Diceros bicornis minor: one gene and its partner. The protein of the gene in region 1 interacts with the protein of each later gene in a biochemical or structural test. Links are inferred from orthologs where the notes say so. Each region holds a gene or a part of one and is shown on either strand. Other genes may lie near its edges.

What was found.
Region 2: the proteins of SPTBN2 (region 1) and ACTR1A form a complex in vitro, tested with the Homo sapiens proteins (2 studies listed by BioGRID). The link is inferred for Diceros bicornis minor from reciprocal best matches to the Homo sapiens genes SPTBN2 and ACTR1A.

The regions. Positions count from the first base shown.
Region 1 is NC_080770.1:6,658,391-6,669,546, forward strand, and holds the start of SPTBN2 (spectrin beta chain, non-erythrocytic 2), read left to right. Parts: upstream 1-6,068; 5' UTR 6,069-6,072; coding exon 6,073-6,089; intron 6,090-11,156. UniProt on the Homo sapiens protein: Probably plays an important role in neuronal membrane skeleton.
Region 2 is NC_080745.1:67,457,504-67,469,346, reverse strand, and holds the start of ACTR1A (alpha-centractin), read left to right. Parts: upstream 1-7,480; 5' UTR 7,481-7,547; coding exon 7,548-7,595; intron 7,596-11,843. Other genes in the region: SUFU (suppressor of fused homolog), read right to left, coding at 830-964, 5,110-5,291. UniProt on the Homo sapiens protein: Part of the ACTR1A/ACTB filament around which the dynactin complex is built. The dynactin multiprotein complex activates the molecular motor dynein for ultra-processive transport along microtubules.

The DNA of each region.
Region 1 (11,156 bases):
TGCACAGGGTACTTTGAAAGGCTGTGTCTTCTCAGAGTTCCAGGAGTGAAACAAAGCATAAGCCCCTTCTGTCTACTATTGTTTGCTGGTGGGGACAGAAAACAGTTGCATCTAACCTCTCTTGTTCTCCTTTTCCAGTCCTTTTCAGTTCTGCTCCAAGCTCAAAAACTATTATATTTTCTGTGTGGAGGGGAAACTCACATGTTCTTCCCAATTCTACAGTTGATGGCATAAACTTTGAGCTTTACGTCTTTCAGGTTCTGTCTCTTGATATTTAAAGGGAAGCTTCTGAAGAAAAAAAATCCCTCTCAAGAACCTGGCTTTAACCATTTAAAAACTGGAACTTTCAAGAACATCTTCTGTGCAATCGATTTTAAAAGGTCTAGTTAAGAGTTCAAAAGCCAAGAATTTGACTGTGATTTTTCTGTATCATCCTTATGCAGAAGGCAGTGCATCTAGAAAGTGCTTGCTGCTGCTTAGTGATGGGGTGTAGATTAGGGGTAAAAGAAATGGAAAATGCAGTCTTTGATATAAAAACATCTAGTTTCATCTATTCACAACAAGGAATCAGCTTCTTCCCCAAGGTCTTTTCTGTCATTCATTAATTTATTGCACAGATATCTATGTGTCTGCTGTGCTGGGGATACAACTGTGAAATGGATGTATTCTCTTCCCTCACGAAGCTCACGCTGTAAGAGGGAACACAACCAATGGCCAGTGATGATCCGGTATGGAGTACGGCTGTCAGAAGGCCCCTGTCCCAGAGTTGGAGCCCAAGGAAGGCTTTCTGGAGGAAGTGACACCTCAATTGAGACCTAGGTGAATGGAAAAGGAAGAGTTTCCAGCCAGAGGGAAAAGCATGTTCAAAATCCCACAAACATTGGAAAAACTCCAACAGGTTCCTTATGTCTAGGACATAGAGTGTCAATGAGGAGTGGTGAGAAATGAGGCTGGTAAGGAGGTAAGCAGGGCGTATAAACTGTTAAGAACTTTGGACTTTATCCCAAAGGCACTGGGGAGCCACTGAAGGGTTTTCAGCAGAGGAGTGATCTGTCAGATTTTTGCATTAAAAAGGCTACTCTAGCTGCAGTGTGATAGATAAGACAGCCCAGGCAGAATGCATAGAATGAGAAAAGGGCCTAGAACAAAACACCACCAACAATAACAGCAACAAAATTAAGTGACAAGCAGAAAACCAACTGACAAAAGACACAAAGGAGGGACCACAAGCGTTGAAAACCAGGAGAGTGTGGCAACCCTAAACCAATGGAAGAAAATTTCAAGAAGATGGGCATAATTAGAGTCAATTGCTGCCAAGAGAAACAGGAAGATAGCAATTGGAAATTGACGCTGTATTTAGCAATAGGATTTTTGACGACCTTGCCGAAAGCTGCTTTAGAGGAGTAGAAGTTGTATTGGATTAAATCAATTGCATCAATGCTCATCTATCCCCTTCACTTACCATCTGTCTCTACACTTTTGTCTTCCAAATGTATATTTTAAGTCCAGACCTCCTCTTTGAGCTCCAAACCCAGACACAATTGACCACTCAATATCTCCACTTGATTGGTTCAAAGGTATCTCAAACCCAGCAGCTTCCAAGACCAACACTCTCCCCACCCAAACCTGGTCTTCCTCCAGTTTGCCTCATCTCAGCAAATGGTAACTCCATTCTTCTAGTTGCCCAGTCCATGACAAACCCTTTTTCCTCACCATCCCCTCTGTATCTAACCCATCACCATCACCACATCTTGTCAATTCTTTCTCCTATATGTTCCTCTGTCTCCACTGTCAACATCCAAGTTCAAGCTACCATCTCCTCTCTCACCTGAACCACAGTAGTAGCCTCTTAACTGGTTTGTTACATCAACTTGCACACTCCTCCAACTTATTCCCCGCACAGCAGCTGGAGTAATCTTTTTAAAAGACAAAGTTGATCACTTCACTTCCTTGCTTTAAATCCTTCAATAGCCTCCCAGGGCTCTAAGGATAAAAACCAAAAAATTTTAAATGACCTAGTAAGCCCTGCATGACCTAGCCCTTGCCTATCTTCCCAGCTAGAATTCACCATACATTCGCTCTTGCCTTCTGTTTTCTCTCCCACTGCCTTTCACCATGCATCCTACAGCATCAGGGCTGGTATCCACATGCTTTGTGTCTCTGTAGCTAAGAACATAGCTCAAATGTCCAACTGTCTTGGTTAAAATCCCAGCTCTACCCCTGCCTGGTTCAATGACCCTGGACAAGGCACTTAATCTCTCAAGGCCTCCATTTCCTCTTCTGTAAAATGGGGCTAATACTTACCTCTTAGAGCTGTTACAGGAATTAAATGAAACAATACGTGTAAAGTGCAAGAAATATAGTCCTCAATTAATGGTAGTAACTGCTGTTGTTATACCCCATTCTCTGCCTGGTTAATGCTTCTCATATCTCTGATCTCAACTCAAATTATCTGAGGGAGGTCTCCCTTGACCCCCCAACTCCCTAACCAGGTTATGACTCTGTTAAACTCTCACATAGTATCCTGAACTTTTCATTCCTTATACTTTCTGATTATCTATCTGAGGGGTTATTTTATTAATGTCTGTCAACCCCACCAGACTGTAAGCTCCAAAGGGATAGAGACAGTGTCCATTTTACTCATCATTAGATCCCCAGGTCCAGCGTGGTGCCTGACACATAAGCCGGATGGTTTTGAATGAATGTTTGATGAATGAGAGGTGAGGAAGTAGAGCCAATGATTTCAAGTGACTCAAGAAGATTGTGATCATAAAGATTATGAGCAAGACATGGAGGAGGATCAGGGTTTCTCACTTATTTTTTAAGCTAGCAGATACTTGAGCATGTTTAAATGCTGATGGGAAGGAGCCAGAAGAGAGGGAGCTCACCAGAAGGAGTGTGAGCCATGAGGCTGCGGGAGGAGATGGCACTTAGGGCAGGAGCCAGAAGAATCAGTCTCAGAAGGAGGGACAGCTCTTCCATGGTATAGGAATGAGAGCTGAGAATTCAGCTACATCTGTAGGTTTGGTGGCTGGAAGTCCTACAAAGACCTTTCTGTGAATCTTGGTAACGTAGGCAGCAAATCTGGATTCTCTGAGAAGCTCAGCATACTTGGGAACATCATTCCATTCACTTTTGTAACTTATGTAAAAAGGAAGCAGACGTTTTCTTCATCATCGACTGTACTGACGCACTACGGAGCAAAATAACAAGTTTCCAAAGCAACTCGGTAACAGAGCTGAGACAAGGGATCTCAGTGTTCTCTTTATTGAGCATGCTTCCTTCCCAAATTGGGAAACAGTACGGTAAAATGATAATATGGTAAAATAATAATGGCTGACACTGGTGGAGTGTTACTATGTGCCAGGCACTGTTCTAGTACTTCACCTGCAATAACTCATTCGGTCCCCACACATTATGATACATTTTAAGATGAGGAAACTGAATTCTTCAGAGGTGAAGGAACTTGCCCAAGGTCAACAGTTAGTAGGTGGCAAAACTAGGTTTTAAACCAAGGAGTCTGACTCCAAAACTGAAGCCTTTATCCACTGGGCTATATTCCCTCTCTAGCAGAGGGGAAAGAACATATTAGGAATCAGAAGTCCTGGTGTCTCTACTATGAACTAACTCTGTGAACTTGGGCATTCACTTAGGTGTCTGAACATCAGTTTGCTCATCGATAAAACGAGAATGATAATGTTTACCTTACGACGATTTTAAAAGGATTATGAAATGTTGAAATGGGAAATCACTATACAAAATATATTATTATTATGCTAATCATAGACTTAATATGCTTGTCTTCTAATTGGATCACAGTCCAATAGGCGGTTGTGGAGACCCTCGGTTCCCATAACCAGTACAGCAGCAGCTAGTTGGCTGTTTCTCATCCTATCAGCTTTAACATCCTTGACCAAGTCTCCTTGGTGTACATACCTTGGTGTCCCCTTTCCCCCTGAACACACTCACTACTACCGCTGGGAACAGTAACAGCTTATGCCCTCACTTTGATTCCGTTGCCTGAAGGAATGACTGTTAAAGAATAAGTAATAAATAGCCTGAATTACAGCTAATGGTGAAGTGTACCCTAGAAGGCCAAGTTCCAGTCTGGTGACAGAATCACTGTTCCAGTTTAGTGATGGAATCAGACTATCAGAGCTAGAAAAGAACTTCTAGGTCATCTTTTAGTGCAACTCCCCACCCCCTCTCCCAACCCATTTCATAGACTAGGAAAACTGAGGCCAGGAAAACTGAGATGACACAACGAGTTAGGAGTGGTAGCAGGACTTTTTTTTTTACCTTGAAAATGTTTTCAAATGGGTTTAACACAAGCGCTTTCACCTTGCCAAAATCATATCTGGAAAGTATTTTCAATTGCTTATATGTTAGTTTCAGTATGCATACCTTTTCAGAAAGGAGCAAAATCCTAAAATTTGATTACCTGTAAATACATAAAACTTTAAGCCCAATAATTCACACAAAGCCCATTCTTCACATTGCCCTTACTTGGCCATTTCAGGCATTTCTCAGGTAAAAAGAGGCCCACATCTTCAAGGGCAGAATAACCTAATGGTTAAATTCAGACTGCTCTGTACAAAGCCCACTCTATTATTACTAGTTCATTTCTGAGCTTAGTTTCCTAGTCTGGAAGAACAGTACCTACCTCTTAGAGCTGGAGTGAGGGGTGCGGGTCATAGGAGATCATGCACTTTTAGCACCCACCTGGCACTCTATAACTTTGTTATTATTTGGGCATAATTCTTTCCTCTCCTAAGCAGATAGCAGTTCACCGTGGTTAATGACCTTAGACCTTAGACCATTCAGACGCTACCAAACCAAGGAGAAACCCAGCTGTGCCAGGCCTAGAAATGTCCACCCCACCCCCACTCCCTCTTAAGGCAGTGAGTAGGCCGGAATTCTCCTGGTTGATAAATGAGAGGAGCTGAGAAGGAGCCGAGAGAGCTGCAGTGATGACTGTTCCGAGAATCTGATCTGCCAGAAGGCGAATCTCCACCACATGTACCATGGAGATGCTCCGGGAAAGAGAGCCGGCCTACCTGCTTGAGGGAGGACGCGAGAGAGAAGGGATGGATGAAAAAAATGATTAAAGGGAGATGGACTGGAGGTGTCCAAAGAGGAAAATTTGAAAAGGAAAACAGAGGCTGGATATTGGGAAACCTTCCGGGCGGTGAGTGCCATTCAAGGAAGGATTTCGCGTCCCGGGGATACAGATTTTGGAGCAAGAGCGGAGTAGGGACAAAGGTGGGGTACGCAAACTGAGAAGACCGAGCCCGGCAAGCTGTGGGGGGTACCCAGATGGCCCGGGGGTGACCCGGGGCCGGCGAGGACCGGAAGGCGGGGTTAGCGGGGGCACCCGCAGGGAAGGTGGGGGGCGGTCGGGAGCCGGTAACGGAGCCACCTCCGCGTTCGCCCCGGGGAAGGTCAGCGACCCCGGGCCGGGGGGCTGTTCGGAGAACCGAGAGGGGCCGCGGTTGCCATGGTGCCGGGCGGGGAGGGGGTGACTCGGGCCCCGCCCCGACCCCCGCGGGGCCGCGGGCTCCAGATGGTCCCGGACCTCCCGCGGGAGCCGGCGGCCTGCGGCAGGGGGAGGCTATTGTCCTCCTTCCGCGGCGCCGCAGTCCCGCCGCTCGCGCCCGCGCGCCGCCACGCGCCCCGCCGCCGCCGGTCCCGCGCGCCCCCCGCGCCGCTCGCGCCCCGTGACAGCGCCCGCCCGCCGCCTGCCGCCCGCCGTGCGCCCGGCCGCCTCCGGGCCACCTGCCGCCGCCCGCAACCGCCCCTCGCGGCGGGGCTGCGGGCGCGGCGACGACCGGTGCGCCCCCGCTCGCCGCGATCCCGCCTGCCGGGCCGGCGCTCCGCACCGAGGTAGGTGCCGGTGCCCGGGCCGCTTTGTCCGGGCCGGCGGGGCGGCGCGCTTTGTGCAGCCGCGTGCGGGCGGCTGGGTCGGGGTCAGGGTCGGGGCCGGGGCCGAGGCCGAACAGTGGAGCCGGGGAGGGAGGATGCGGCGCCTGGCCCTCGCTCCCGCCCGGTCCCGGGGACAGGATGGAGAGAGTCATGTGCCAGCCACCCAGGTACCGGCGTGCCGGCGGTGGGGGGTCGAGGCTTGGGAGACTTGGGCCTTTCCAGAGCTGAGAGAAGAGTCTGGAAGAGTTGGGGCTGACAAACGCGTTAAGGGATCGGGTCGGCTGGGCTCGGAGCGTGTCTGACAGCGCCGGCTGTTCGCGTAGCGGAGGCTCCTCGGCGGACCGACCGGCGCCGGTCCAGGTGCTGAGGACACGCTCGGCGGTCTCTGCCGGGGTCTGCGAGCGCCCGGCTTCCTCTTGGGAGCTTGCTAGGGCTCCCTCTGGAGCCGAGTGGGCTTCTTCTCGCTTCTTTGGTAGCTAGCTCTCCTTTATGCAAATTCACAGTGTGTGTGTGAGGGGCACACGGTTGGCGGTGATGACCAGAACACTGGCAGAGGGAGAACGAAGCCCTTTCGGGTGGTCAGGACCTGGCGGTGTAAGGTGTTTCTGTGGCTGGGATATCCAGAGGGCTTGGAGACCGCCCGGCGCAAGAACTGCCGGCAAGGCCTCCTCCTAGGTTATTCCAACTCCAGCACCTCAGTCGGCATTTACCATCCACTCTGGCTCCGAACGACTTTACTCCATTAGTCCCATGGCATTGCATGCTTGTATGAGATGCACGCTTGCCCCTTTCCTAACCTGCTACATGTTGTCTCCCGTGAGCTGTTTCTCAGCTGCCCTGCTCCCCTCCTGGAGCAGCCACGATTCCAGCGCTGGAAGCTGGTCGGTTCCTGCATGGGCAGGGTATCCACAAACCAGTTTTCCTTGAAGGTGAAGCGGGCAGAGTGAGTTCCAAATACGGGTCTTAGCTTGAGGTGTTGGGCAACCTCTTGACATATTCAGAAGAGCAAAGGATTAGGGAGGAAAAAGCTAATATAGATCTTAGGTTTGTCCCTTAGAGAAACTGATGTAACTCATCAGTTAAACACTTGGGGGAGGGGGTGAGGAAGGGGGTGAAAATTAGTCTGAATAATTCTGCCCTGAGTGGAGGATTCTAAAGGAGAAGATCAAACAAAAATTCAGTCCCACTCTTCAGCCCCGTCCCTAAATTTCTTGGAGGAGAGTTCCTGTGCTTTATCAGGGACACAGCCTTGAGGGAAACGGGTTGGGGTTTTGTTTCTCCTGTGGGTTCTCTGATTGCCCTGAGTGCATCTTTCTTTTTCCTTCCTGGGAGCCCTGAGTTTATTTGTGATTTCTTTTTCCTCTCTCTCTGCCAGTCCACTCATATTTTGAGTCAAATGAGATTTTTACTTTGGCAAAGTCCCCGCTTCTTCTAATCTATTATTCCGCCTGCTGTCATTTGTTCAACTCTGCCTCCCCATAGCGTCTCTAGCCATATCGTCCTCCTTCCACACATCTGTGACTCGCCTGTGCCCGGACATCAGCTCTGTTTATCTCATTAGATCTAGAGCCTGCTCCATCTTCAGTTTCCTCTCTCATCGCCTGAGGCTCTTTGTGGGTCTTGGGGTTTCCGAGGGGAAGTTATATTTGAGTTTAGCCTGGGTTAGAGTCTGAGCAGACCCAGCAGCTAACCTCAGGTCGCTCTCACCCCTGAAACTTTGTGTCTTAGTCCTCATAGCTCCTCTAGCTGATTCTAACTGCTCCTCATCTTTGTGCAATGGTGGCCCTCAAAGTGTGGTCCCCAGACCAGTAGCTTTAGTATCATCTGGGAACAGGTTAGAAATGCAAATTCCCTGGCCCCACCCCAGATCTACTGAATCAGAAACTCTGGGGAGCAGGGCCCAGTGATCTGTGTTTTAATAGCCCTCCAGGTAATTGTGATTCATGCAAATTTGAGAATCACTGATCTTGAACAACACAGCTCAACCCTGAGAGTACTCCAGCTGAGGAGCAGAGGGTCTTCTCTAATCCCATTTTCGTTCTTTCCTTGAGTTTTTCTCTAGCACTAAGAAAGATTAATTTGCTGGCCAAAAAATGAGTTATGGTCTATTTATTCAATATCTCTTTATTGAATACCTATTGTACTGGGCTTGAAAAACCCAAACGGGAGTAAGACACAGCCCTTGTCCTCAACGGGTTAAAAATGGAGCAGGCAGAGAGACACATAAACAACTAACTATAATACGATGTGATAAGTGCATTAATAGCTGCCTGCTGAAGTGCTCTGGGAGCACAGGGGAGGGGATGATCAACTCTCTCCGAGGGAGGTAAAGAATTAATCAGGAACAGGATGTGGCCAGAGGAGGAATTAGGGTACATGACAGGCTCTAGCCCGGGGGATAGTATTTCTAGCTTTACACGCCAGCTAAATCAGAGGAAAAGGGAAGGGGGGCAGACGCCCCTGAGGGTTGGCACGCGGCTGAGCAGAGTCTGCATCCCACAGCGCTTGGGCGTGAAATCTAGCAGGACCCCAAGCTTGCAGCTGGCGGGGGTTGGCCTTATTCTAGCAGGACCAATGTAAGCTCCTTGGGCTTGGCCCCGAGGTCAGTGGCTAAGAATAAGGTGCTGGTGAAACTGTAATCTGGATTAGCTGCTGGCCCGTCCTATTGCCAGAGTTCAGGAATCCACGGAGGAGAGTAAGGTTGATGATTCTCCAGCACAGAGAGAGACAGGGGGTCCTGGGGCTGGGGGGCAGGCTGACTAAGGAAATGTGAGCATGGAGACCCAGATCATAGTGAGGAATGATGTACTGAATGAGAAAAAACTAGAACAGATCTATGTAAAGAAACTCAAATGGGAAACTCCAGGAATCTGGAGATGGCAGCAGGGAACATGGAGAACACAGCATATTGTCCAGAAGGTCAGGAAGCTGCAGAGCCCAAACGCTTGAAAACCAAAACTCAGAGGCCCTGAGAACCACTGCGCTGAATAACACCAGACAGCACTGTTCATGTGCGAGTCTATGGGAATAAACTCCTTGGAGTCCCAACCTGGTGGCCCTGTGGGGCTCTGTGATCTCAAGACACCAGTGCCATTTTGGTTCCTTATCCATGTGATGGCAGGCATCTCTGGAAACTCAGGATGCAAAATATGTATGATTTGGTCAGAGGAGCATTTAAGTGGTTGAATTTTTATTTGGGAGAAGGGGAGGTTCCAGCTCCATACTTTTCTCCCCAAAATTATAGGATCCAAGGAGAGGCTTTAGCAGCCAGACCTCACTGGGATGTCTAGATCCCATGCCTGGGCCCCAGTAGGTCCCTTGGAAGGACCAAGTTTGATCACCAAAAAGAAGGCAAAACAGTACATGTTCAGGTTTTGTGCCGCTTACAGGGGCCCCAGGGACACACAGTAGTTTGGAGACAGGGTCAGACAATCTGTTTCTTTAAGTTTCTGCTCTTTGTGGAGTACAAAGTTAGAAAGCAGGGTTTGAAAACCTCAGAGGCCTTCAGGGGCCAGGCAGGTAACAGAAATATGTGATATGGCTGGGGAGGATACAAAAAGGAATGGTGGGGCTTGCAGAGAAATGGAAAGCATGGGCCCACCTAAGGGAATCCAGAACCAGTTATTTTTAAACAGCGTATCGGCCACACTCCTGGGGGCCAGGTTCAATAGGTTTGTGACTCCTGATAAAAGGAAAATGGTTGTGAAAGCAAAAGGTCAGGGGGCATTGTATCTAGGAGTTCTAGTGGGGAGGTCTATGCAGGGAGAGTATGACTCCATCCCACTGGAAGTGTCCATCCCAGAGCTCAGCGTGAGCATGGCTGCTGGTGAGGAAGCCCTAAGCTGAAGGGTGGAGAGAAAAGGAATTAGAGTTGGTCCTGGGGCTTGAGGTGCTTCCCTGTCCGGTGGCTGAGAGTATTAGGTGACACTAGTTCAGGTCACGCCTCGCCCACAGCGCTCTTTGCTCAGGGTGATTCAACTCTGCCCTAGAATTTATTTTTGTATAAATATTTACAGGGCAAATTCAAAGAATCTGTTGGGGATTAGGGGAAATGATGGATTTCAAATGAGAAAGGAGTCCTGGGCCTAGTGGAATTAAGCTCTCTTTCCTATTATAGGGAATGTAAAGCCCAAATCTGGGAACCTTACACCTTAGCTCCCTCGCATCTCATCAATGCAGAAGAATCCTTGTGCGTGTTTTCTCTCTGGGAGAAAGAGGAGGGGCAGGTGATCCTGACTGTCACAGGGGTCAAGTTCAGCTTCAGGGAACCAGTTAATGACAGAAGCCAAGTTCAGCCTTGGTGTGCCCTCCCTACCCACCCACATCTCACCACCTACCCCTTCTCCCTTCCTCAAAACCACACAGAAGGTTCTCCCTACCCCCTTTCCAGAGCCAGAAACTGCCAAGATCGTAGCACAACCGTAGAAGGTAGTGCTAAGGATTAAAATCTCTTTCATTTGAGGGGTACTAGGAAAATGAGAAATGCAGAATTTGGAGTTCCGATAAAGTTACAGACCCAGCCCCCTCCATTCTCTTGAATGGCTGCTGAATGCTGAATTACATGAGAACTTTGGACAGTAGAGGTGTTTTTTAAAATCCCTAGCAGCTAATCTGAAGCTCATTTGTTAGTTTTGAGAAGGACAGAGTTTGTTTGTGTAACTTAGAGTTGTAACTAGTGTTGGCGAGCCTGCATGGTCCTAACCCCCAGCCTGGGCCCTAGAAGGGGGCAGTGGGTGCTGATCTCTCCCAGGGAGTATGAAGAGCTCCAGGAAGTTTGAGGAACATATAAATGTTCTGGTTAAGAGCTTGTCCCCGAGAATCAGAAAGAACCTCGCTTCAACACCCAGCTTTGCTCCTTCCAGCTGTGTGACCTTGAATGGAGACTTAATTTTGCCAGTGCAGCTTCCTCATCTATGGAATGGGGATGATGATGGACCCTCGCCCCATAGGGGGTTGGGATGAGCTGATGCATGTAAATGGCGAGGACACGTAGCACAGCCGACATTTATCAAGCACCTATTAAGTATTCTCTGTAGCACGGAAAGGAAACCAAGGGGAGAGAACCGATCTGTGTCCTGCTTTGAACTCCAGGCACTTCCCCAACAGCGCATCACAGTCTTCCTGATGTATCGTAGATGCGTCTTTGCTCCAGAGCAGGATTTGAGTCTTTTCATCTCAGATGCCTACAGGGTAAGGGAAGCTGTCTGGTATGGAGGAAGGGCTCAGAACAGTTT
Region 2 (11,843 bases), on another chromosome or scaffold:
AGGGCAGCAAATGGAAGACAGACTAGGGTAAAAAAAATGTACTGTTGGGCTGGCCTGGTGGTGCAGCGATTAAGTGTGCATGTTCCGCTTTGGTGGCCTGAGATTCGCAGGTTCGGATCCCGGATGCGCACCAACGCACTGTTTGTCAAGCCATGCTGTGGCGGCATCCCACACAAAGTAGAGGAAGATGGGCATGGATGTTAGCCCAGGGCCAATCCTCCTCAGCAAAAAGAGGAGGATTGGCATCGGATGTTGGCTCAGGACTGGTCTTCCTCACAAAAAAAAAAAAAATGTACTGTGGGTAATCTGAGCACAGATAACTGCAGGTTAAAAGGAAGTAGGTAACATCAACACAGGGATAGATATGCATATATTCATAATAAAGCAAATACAGTAAAATGTTAATGATAGAATCTAGGTAGTGGGTATACGCGTGTTCACTGTAAAATTCTCTCAACTTTGCTTCATATTTAAAATTTTTCATAATAAGCTAGAGGGAAAAAAAGGAGTAGACTTAGAGGCATCAACCCAAGTTCTGGGTCATAGCTATGCTGCCTGTCCTCTGAGCTCAAACACCAGAGCAAGCTTGGAAAAACCTGATGGTTTTGGAACTCTTGCTCATCATTGACATTTTCCTGCACCAGATAAGCAGAACTCAGGTGCTGACCTGGACAGACAGAAGCAGAGGGCAGAAACCCAGAAGTTCCACCTGAGAAGTGCCAACCTCACAGGACTACGACATTAACACCCCTGCTCAGGAAAACCTCAGAAATAAGGTTCAAGGTGAAGGAACGGGGAGGTGGAGGGTGGGCAAGTGGCACACACTCACTCATGGACCCTGCTGTCGCCATAAAGATCACTTAGGCCGAAGCTGATGTAGTGCCAGTGCTCGGGGATGTTGGCAGAAGGGCTCCCCATGTTCCTGTACATGCTGACGTAGTCCAAGGGGTCTGGGCCACCCAACCTGCAAAAGACAAAACAAAAGGGTGAGCCTGAAAGCAGACAATGTGAAGCTAAGGGGCTCTGCCTTACAAAGCTAAAGGCCCCATCCTGGAGGAACCTGGGGCAAAAGATAACTAAAGGGAGGCCACACCTCTCTGGGATAAGACCAAGGGATGGGCAGCTGGAGTCTGCCCAATTCCACAAGCACAAGAGGCTCCCTTCTATCCCCAACAGGCAGGCTTCTTTTAGAAATAAAACAGACCAAGTGGTTGCCCCTTTTGCTTCTTTCTGTTTCAAATTACCAATCCCAAATGGGACTGGCAGGGATTATCTCTCCTCCATGGTTCCTGTAAACACACCAAGCATCGAGGCAAGAGGTGCATCAACCAATTGGCCTCTGTTGAAACACCATCCTGAGCATCCCCAATGGGCATTGTTCCAGCTAATTCCTGAAAGACTAGATTGTGCCCTATGTTAAATACAGTTTGTTCTAAACAAACCCAATGCCTCCAGACCCCAGCCCACGCCCCATGGACTAAAGCTAGTCTTTTATCACGCGAGTGACAAAGGCCAAACTTAGGCTAGCTCAGCTCTGCACAGAGAACTGCAGCAGGAGCCAGGCTGAACCCTGCGAGCGCCTGCATCCGGAAGATGATCCCAGGAGACTGCCGCCTCAAAGGTAGAGCTGAAACATTAAATGATTTGGGGCCTCTGTGGACCATGTTAAACTTCCCCCATAATTCCAACAGAGAGGCAGCTGAGGAAGAGATTCAGTCATTATTTCACTCTGAGGATTTAATTCAATAAGGGTTCCCTTTAGTAGAGTAATTAGCGCTCTTTAAAAAATATCCTGCTTTTCTTCAGAATGGATAGGGAAACTTGGTAGATTTGAGAAACAGACTAAATGGAAACCATCAGTGGAGGGAAGTCTGCATTTAGCCCACAAACACTCTGCATTTGAGATGCCTTGGCCACATGACTGTTCCACAGACTGTAAAAACTTTGCCTGCCACTGGGACATTGATGGAGTGTGCTTTGCAATTGGGATCGTATGCTGAAAAGACGTTAACAATCAAATAAAAGACATGTTACATGTGATCCCAGCAAGCATGACAGTACCATGCAATTTAAACACTATTTAAAACCAGTAGGTCTGGTTTCATCCTCTTTTGCCAGAATATTATTTGCCTTTGTAGAAATCCTTATTCTCTGCTAGGAAACGCTAAGTTATTTATAGAACTTGTAAGAAAGTCACTACAAATAGCTTAGAATCTCAACAGAGTGGATTAGGAAAAGGGGCAAATCTCCATGTCTTTCCTTAACTCTGATTTTGCCAAATCATTTGACTAATTCCACAACCAGTTAGATTTAGAAAAGTTTGTCAGGGGAAAGAGGCAAGAAAAGGGAAGCTCTCCCAGGAAGGACCCCATGAAACTGCAGAACTCTGGAAAAGATGGGAGTGACTGCAGGCTTCATATCCGCTCCAGCTTCCTGCTGCATATTCTCAGTCTTGCCCCTCCCTCAGCTGAGGTCCATCCAGCAACAAGTGGCAAAACTATGTCCACTCTTCCATGCTCCATCTGTGACCTCACTGCAGCTCTCTTTCTGGCCAAGTCTCCCAGGAGGTATTGCATCAAGGAGAGAGGCTTTACCTTAAAACCCCACTGCAAAGAATGACCAAGAGTCAGACAAAATTAAGCTAGTCCCCAAGCACAGACTGTAATATTCTACTTACTCAGAGACCTGACGGGAAGCAGACGAGTATACAGAAAATAATCATATTTTGCACTTAGAGAAAGATGTTATTCAAGGACCCAGAGCATCCCTCAACTTAATTCCTACAACACTTAACTCTGCAGGGCAGGTACAGGACTGGAGTGGCCCCAGAGCACAGGCTCTGCCTCTCTGCTTCTGCTCCCTGCTCACTAAAGTCTCCGCTTTCAGCCAGGATGTCCCTGCTGGCCAAGGACCACTAGCCAAAGAGCCACCCTTCTGTTGCAAGAAAAGGAATCCCAAGGTAACCTGGCCCACAGCCAGACCCAGGCAGCCTCAGTCTGTCATCCTGCCATGAGAACTGAAGAGGCCTTGTGGGACTCCAAATGTGAGGGATATCAATGAATTAATTTCAGGATCTTAATTACGCAACCCCCTTTGAATCTTAGAAAGAATCATTTGCTGAGCTGTCCCCTCTTACGTTTTTCTTCATCTAGGCAGCATTTCTAATTTCACAATCCTTTTTAGTCATCATTACATGCTGGCCCATCTCTGGCCTTCATCATTCACCGAGTCTAGACCATTAACAAGTTTGCAGCAAGAAGAAGAAAAAAAGTTGCCCAAACCAGTCTTAGTCCTTTGCACATGCTTCAATACCTTTTACACACAACTCTATCCTTCATGGCCAGTTGGGTGACATAAAAACAGTTGCCCAAGTCCGTGTAGGGATTTCTCCCTACACTCAAATGCGGCCTGAAAAAACAGTATGGCAGAGGCAGGCCCACTTTTCTCATGACACAATCCAACAGAGTTCATCACAATACATATTTAAATATAGAGGTGCAATTAGAATGGGTGATTAAGTTATCAAGAGCTGCTTTTCACTCAGAAGCTCTCTTCAAAAACTCCTCTCAACCAAAGAACAGTGTGCTTGCCAGAAAGAACTGTACCACTGGCCACACCTCCTCCGGCTACCAGACAGAGACAGGCTGCTCCTCGTGGCCCTCCCTAAGCAGCAGGTGGCTGGTCCTCAGGCCCTCCACACTGTCAGCCTCTTCACATCCTCCCATCGACACAGGGAGCTGGCCTCAGCCCTATCCAGCCTAGCTTCTGCCATCTCTGGAGGAAGTAAGAGGTTGTCATGTAGGAGAAAGACTCAGTCTTAAAGGGAAAGGTAATCAGCAAAGACATCCCCTTCATTCACTTCTACCTTGAGTCTACCTACCCCCTCTGCCACAGGCCAAGCAGATACCTGAAAAGTCTTCCAGGATTCAACAAAGGGACCATCTAATACAATGCTTGCATGAATGTGGTTCTGGACAGATTCAACCAATTCTTGTCAACTTTTGGTCCAGAAAGACCATGAAGACAGGCTCTTTTCCAGAGTCCCCACAACACCTGTTTTGCCCAGAGGCTGCAGGAAGAGACAGGTTGCAAACAGGAATGAGAAACTAGAAAAGACCATTCCTACCCCAAGGGCAGCCCATCTGTAAACAGGTCTAATCCTTAACAGAGCTACTTGAGGGTTACTCTCAGCTTCCCTGAGACACTGCTGCCTAAATCCTAAAGTTCGTGGCCAGGAAGTTCCTCTTAACATCACACTGCACTTCTTTCCTCTTTGTCTAACTCCCAGGTCTTCATCATTTACCGAGGTCTCCTTCAATCCTGACCCAAATCATGGATCTCCCTGACCCTGCCTGCCTCTGTTCTAGCCAATGACCTAAAGCAAAGCAGCTGCAGAGCCAGAGGAAGCTCTGCATGGAGAAAGAGAACTGTGCAGAGTAAGCAGAAAGTTTATCAGGAAAAGTTGCCCGGTGAAACTTCAAACGCAAAAGCATTGCACTGATATGATGTCTGAGCTCACTGGGAAGTATCAAAACGAGACCTCCTCCTCATCTCTTCACAAGCACGACGCTCACAGCTTGCTCCCCTCCTAACCCACAGGAGAGCCCGGGTCCCCAGACCGGCCCCAACCCTATGCTGTCTCGTGCCCTTTGAGCTCCTCCAGCCCGGCTCCTCCAAAGCTCTCTCATATGCTCCCCAGGCCCCGCCTCGCCTCCCTCATCCCGCTTCGGCCGCCCCTCCTTGGCTTCCCCTCGCCCACTAATGACCCCCTACAGGCGCCCCCTCCTTTCACCACGTTTACAGTTCCCTCTCTCCTACCGTTCCCCTCTCAGCTCCTACACACACCCCCAATTCACTTTATTCTCCTAATCTCAGTTAACCCTTCAGCCTTCCCTCCTTCGTTAACCCTTCGCTACCCACAGGCTCCGTTAACCCCTTTGTCCCCATTCGCAATTTGAGCCTTAACTCCTTCCCTCGCAGCAGGAAGCCCTCCTTCCAGTGCTTTAACCATTCTCTGTCTCCTCCTCCAACCTTGCAAATTACTTCGCCCCCGGCGCTTTAACCCTGCCCAGCCCGCCCCTGTCCGTCTCCCCGCGGCCCAGGGCATACCAGTACTTGACGATAGCGGTAACCTGGAGCGGGTTTGGCTGGTCAGGGTAAAGGCGGCGGCACTCTCCGTAGATGGCGTGCAGTCCCGGGGGGAAGAGCGAGGCGAAGGCCGGGGGGGCAGTAGGGCCAGGGGCCGGGGGCGCGGTGGGGCCGGGGGCGCCACTAGGCCGCAGCTCCGCCATCGGGGCGTGTAGGACGCTGGGGAAGCCAGGGAAGGCGGACGAGGCGAGAGCACTGACGCGCCAGCGGCGGACTCCGTGGGTGCGACTCCCCGAGGCGACGGGGGCTGCAGCGAGGTGTAGGCTTCGCGCCTGCGCACGGCGCACCGTCCGCCCTGGCAGTCGCCGCCGCAGAGACCGCCAGAGGGTGCCTCGGCGGCCGCGGGGCGCTCAAGGGGGCGGGGCGCCGGCGCGCCCTATCCCAGCATCCATTGGCTAGTGTCTGTGCCAGTCACAGGTAGGGAAGGCGTGACTTGACCATAGGTCCCGCCTCCCTCTGCCTGCGTTTGGGGTGTCCCAAGGCTCTTGGCCTCCCCCTAGTGTTAGGAGGAACCTAGACTTAAATAGAGATGTTGCGGCATGCTTCTGAGGTGCTAGGGTCTCACGAAAGCCGTGGAAAGTGCACCGACGAAAGGCTTCTCACTGTTTTGCTGACACGCTGCTAACAAGGATTTAAATATAAATCTGACAATAGATTGATTCATTCGTCCGTGTGGCATTAGTTTTATTTTATTATTATTATTTTTTTTTGTGAGGAAGATCAGCCCTGAGCTAACATCCATGCTAATCCTTCTCTTTTTGCTGAGGAATACCAGCTCTGAGCTAACATCTATTGCCAATCCTCCTCTTTCCCCCCCCCCCAAAGCCCCAGTAGATAGTTGTATGTCATAGTTGCACATCCTTCTAGTTGCTGTATGTGGGACGCCGCCTCAGCATGGCCGGAGAAGCGGTGCGTCCCTGCGCGCCCGGGATCCGAACCGGGGCCGCCAGTAGCGGAGCATGCACACTTAACCGCTAAGCCACGGGGCCAGCCCCTGGCATTAGTTTTAATAGATAACAAATCTGAACGTTACCTACCGTCTTTGAATGTCCATTGACTATATCGACTGACACTAACACCGCCAAATTCAGGGGTCATATTTTGAAATACCTATTTTGGAATTCTGTCAGAAAGTAACAAGAGTTAGGTAAACTAGGATCGATTAAAAAGACTTGGTAATTATTTAAAAAATGCTTTTAGTGAAGATGACAATCTCTTTTTTCTTCTGTTTTAGGCAGATGTCTGCAGATTACTTTGAGGAACATCATTATCTACTGTGGCCTGCCCTTCCCCATTACCTTGGCTCTCTGTAACTGGAAAAAAAGTTAATTTCGAAGGCACTGAGTTGGGAATTACTTTCCTGTTTACAATAACTTTTCATATAGTAATGTCTTCCACTCAATGATCTGGAAATTCCAAGAGAAAGGGATAGAAGGGAGTCCTGCTTACCAGTACTATTAACTAAAAGATCCCTGCAGCTTGAAGGCGGGGAGGAAATAATCTAGAGAAGAATGCACTGGGCTCATTTGAAAGCAGTGACACATAACCTCTCTTCACCTCCATTTTCTCGCTCATCAATGTAAATTCTAGCTCCCCACGAAAATTAAAGAGATAGAGCAGTTTCTGAAGTTATTAGATGAACGATGTTTTAATAGCCAAAAAATCATCTATACCAGTAGCTTCAAATGCCAGTCTTCGGACCAATGTTAGCCTGTTGCAAAGTTCACACCTACCCAGGAAAAACGCGAAAAGCAACAAAAATGTACCGTTTTTTCTAAAAAGCAAATTTTATGCAATTTAAATTATTTTCTTTTGTTCTGGCAATATGTCCTTTCCCGTGTGTGTGTATTAAAATTTCCTTTAGTCGAGTGTGATGGCGATAGATTTTTATTAATGTCTTATAGACCCAAATAAAAACATGGCAATCTTATATCGTCCAGGGGAAGTGGTGGGGAGTGGCAGGAGGGATCTGTAAAATCCAAATATGCACGAATTACTGACCAATCCAAACCGAACTACAGACAAGTACTCAAGAAGACTACTTTCATACAACTTTACATATTTCAGCATGCACTGCTAATCCCTTCAAGCGGATTACAGATCCAAGCAAGCAATACCCCCATCAATCGGCATCCCTGTCTATTATCAATGGAGACTACAAAGCCCAGGGTACTGTGCGTCAGAAACGCGACGCCCCGTCTCTTAAAGCAGGCGGGGCTCCGAAGTTGCCTGGCTCGCTAACCCTGGTGCAAGGCATGCTGGGCTTGTAGTTCTTCGGAGGCGAGGTCGGGCCGCTCCCTGCCGCCCTCTACCACCGGCTAGACTGCGCATGCGTGTCAGTGGCGTTAGCAGCGGACCCGGCTGGCAGTTCCTTCCTCGGAAGGAAAGATTCCTCTGCCATGGAGTCCTACGATGTGATCGCCAACCAACCCGTCGTGATCGACAACGTGAGTTGCGTCTTTCCTATCTCTAAAGGGACGTATGCTCTCCTTCCCGAAGGGATTGCTTCCCGGGTTTCAGCCCGGGCCGCCGGCTCTTTGTCACTGGCCCGGCCTGTCAGGCGGGTTCAGCCGCCGCCGCCTCCATCCACCCCACCCCCACCCCCCAGTCCGCAGGCAGGGCGGCCGGCCAGCAACCGTGGGATGGAGAACTTGGGGATGGATAGAGGGAAGAGCTGTAGTGCGGGCCGGGTTCTTGGGCCGTTGGCTTGAGGGGCCTTAACCGATGTGAGCGCCCGGCGCCCATCCCCTCCCCGGTTTCCGATAACTCTATTGGCTGCTCTGGCTGTCCATCTTGACTGATGACCCCGCCTCTGGGCCTTGCCGGATAAGGGCAGCCCTCTGCAGTGATTGGCTCGCGCCCCTGCCATTTTTCCGGGCCGCCATAGTGTGTCCCCTCTCTAAGGGGCGGGGCGATGCACGAGGGTTGTGAGGATTGGTTTCGGGATCGCCCGGTGTAGGGGCCTGACGGGCTAGGGCCTGCCCGCGGGTAGAGAAGGGGTAAGTTTCCCTCTGTCTGCAGCTGGCCGGAGGCTTGGCGGTGTATCTGGGTGGGGCCCGAGAATCTGGTGCGAAAAATAGCCATAAGATTTCAGTTATTTCTGTGATTATAAATTATAACGTGAATAAAGGTCGAGAAGAAAGGAGAGTGACAAAGCAAGCAGGGTGATACCTTCGTCTTCGGAACGCCTAATTGCTGGGGAAAAAAATTACCAAACATAACATTTGCCAGGCGCTCTAGCGCTGACGTGGGTGGGGGGAGTGCACATCCATTCGAGTGGATCCTCACAAAAACTGGGTGAATGGTTAAGGCAGGACGTTTCATCCTCGTTTTACAAATGACAAAACTGAAGCGCGAAGAAGTCTAGTGAGCCCAGGGTCGCACAGTAGAGGTGCCCTAAATCCAGTGCTTTATCCGTTAGCATCAATAGTGACAAATGGAAAGAATCTAAATACTGCTCTTATTTGGGGCGGAGGGGGACAATTGTAAAACAACTGTTTTACGTTTCTGTCTTCCACTCAAATGTTTGGTCCCACCGAGATTGGTTGATACCTTTTCTGTGCCTCTTCTAAATGGCTCCATGGAGGCAAAACTGCCTATTCCCTGTCCGGAGCTGACTGTCAGATGCCCTCTGTTGACCCAGCCCTTGGGACATCTTAGGCATGTTACAAGGTTGTTTCATTTGCATCACCTCATTTAAGCGTCCGGTAGGTAGATAGGAATTACTACCCCCAGTTTATGCAGGAAAGTGAAGCTTGGAGAGGTTTAAATAACAGTATTCAAACTACCTGGTTTATGAGTTGAAGAGCCAAGACTTAAATTGAGATTGAGTTCCAAGGTCCTCACTTTTTCCAAGGAAAGGTGCTTTTTTTGTTGTTAGCTTTCCTTCTCTCCAGGGGTATGAGGTTGAGCTCAGTGACACACCTCATTTTGGGGAGGACTTTTTTTGTCTCTCTCACTAGACTATTAAATCTTTGTGGGAAAAGATAGTATTCCTTCGTTTTTCATTACTCTCGTCTTCACCTCACTCTACACACACACTACCTAGGTCCTGGCACCACTATGTGCTCAATAAATGTTTTTTCATTGGATTGATGGGTGAGTGGATGAATGATTGAATAGCTTTATCACATTAACAAAGAAGTCCCTAAATAAAGAGAGGTTGGGGGTGGGGCGGAGGACCCTAGTTTGTTATGGCAGAGGGTTAGGTATAACTGCTGGATCTTGATGTTGAATTTCAGAGAACACCACTATCTCTGTCTTCAACCAGTTTGTGTGTGCTTCATCTGCCTTTTTTGTTTTAAAAAGAAAATACAAATAGAAATTAGCCATTTCCTGTTTTCATCAGCAGTGCAGAAGGAACGGTCTGTCCATCCCACCAGATCCTCTGCTTCTTGAATTGTTTGGAAGGAGTAGTTCCATCTCCAGCCATTTTCTTTAATGTCACTTAAGCAAATGCTTCTTAGTCTCTCCTTCCTCTCTCTTGGTAGTGTATTTTGAAATGCATCAAATCAGTGGTGAATTTTCAGTTTTAAAATTTAAAGAATTGACTTGTTTTTTCTCTGGGACAACATTTTCTTTTTTTTTTTGTGAGGAAGATCAGCCTTGAGCTAACATCCATGCCAATCCTCCTCTTTTTGCTGAGGAAGACCGGCTCTGAACTACCATCTATTGCCAGTCCTCCTCCTTTTTTTCCCCAAAGCCCCAGTAGATAGTTGTATGTCATAGTTGCACATCCCTCTAGTTGCTGTATGTGGGACGCCACCTCAGCATGGCCGGACAAGCGGTGCGACGGTGCGCGCCCGGGATCCAAACCCGGGCTGCCAGTAGCAGAGCTCGCACACTTAACTGCTAAGCCACGGGGGCCGGCCCCTGGGACAACATTTTCTTTATTATGCCAATAATTCTGCCAAAAGGTAAAGTAGGAGAAACTTAAGTAATTTTCCCATTAGGATTTACTGAGCATCTGCCACATTTTTAGATTTCAGGCCTCAAGTAGTTCTTGCTGTTTGACATTTATAAAGTTTTGTTTTGTTTCAAAGTGAAAAAGGGATAGGAAAAATCATTTGAAATATTTGAGCCAACTTTATATTATAAGAATAATATGTCTCTACCAGATTTAACAGCTCCATAGCTTAACATGTTGCTACAATTTTATTTTCTGGGCTAAGGAGACTGTAATTAAAAGAAAGGAGAACAAAGAAAGCAAAGAAAAGAGGGAAGAGCCCCAATATCAGTCCACTGCCTTTCCCAATCTTCAGACAGTTGTTGACCATTCCTTTCATCCTGTTCTGGCACCAAACCAATTCTCAGAATTTAATGAGGAAAATGGAGGGGTGTCTGTGCGCGCTTTAATGACAACAATAAAGTGATAGGTATTTTTAAAAACTAAACATAAGTCATTCTTCCCAAAGGCATATCATAGATAGTAATACAAGAAGAGGGCAGCTCCTAAGCCACATTTTGCAGACTATAACACTTTGATCAGAATACTGTGTTTATTCTGAAGCTCAAATCTTTGCTAAGATCCCAAAGCCTAAGTTCTGTCCTAAAATGGATCAATATTCTGGTCAATCTTAAAACTGTCTTTGTGACTATGTGGGCCTAAATACAGAAACAGTATTAGATCTTTACAAGTTCATCAATAAGCTAAGAGTTTCACTCTTTTGGGGGGATGTTATGCTGCTTTAGCCCCCTTTTTAAAAAACGAGATACTTTAAATATACAGAAAAGTTCAGAAAACTATATAATAAGCACCCACGTAGCACGTGTCTACCACCCAGATTTATTTGTTTTGTTTTTGTGAGAAAGATCAGCCCTGAGCTAACATCCATGCCAATCCTCCTCTTTTTGCTGAGGAAGACTGGCCCTGAGCTAACATCCCTGCCCATCTTCCTCCACTTTATGTGGGACGCCGCCACAGCATGGCCTGACAAGCAGTGCTTCAGCGCGCCAGGGATCCAAACCCGGGCTGCCAGCAGCGGAGTGCGCGCACTTAACAGCTACACCACGAGGCCAGCCCCCACCCAGATTTAATAAATGTTGACATTTGCCATATTTGCTTCAGATTTTTTGCCGGGGGGAATAAAGCATTACAGATATAAACGAAGCCTCTTTGTACCTCTCTACAATCTCGTCCTTTCATTCTGTTCCGGAAGTAATCCCAGAAGCAAACCATCATCATGAAATTGATGTGCTCCTTTCCATCCATGATTTTATGGACATACATATTTTAGTGTGTGTGTGTGTGCGCGCACGCGCGGGCGCCCGCGCGCGCAGTATTGGTGTTTCGAATTTTTACTTAAGTGCTATCATCTTATTCACTAGCTCTTATTCTTTTTATTAGAGAAAATTTCAAATATAAATAACAGGAGAGGGAATAGTATAACAAACATCCACATATCCGTCACCTACCTGTAGCAGTTATCAGCTCCTGTCCAATCTTTTTAACCACATTCCCACCCACTTCCTGCTGCCACACTCTTTTAAAAACATAATCAACATACTATTATCAAAACCTAATATAATTAACAATAATTTTTTTTGTGTGTGTGTGAGGAAGATTAGCCCTGAGCTAACATCTGCCAATCCTCCTCTTTTTGCTGAGGAAGACTGGCCCTGGGCTAACATCCACTCCCATCTTCTTCCGCTTTATATGCGTCGCCGCCACAGCATGGCCTGACAAGCAGTGCGTC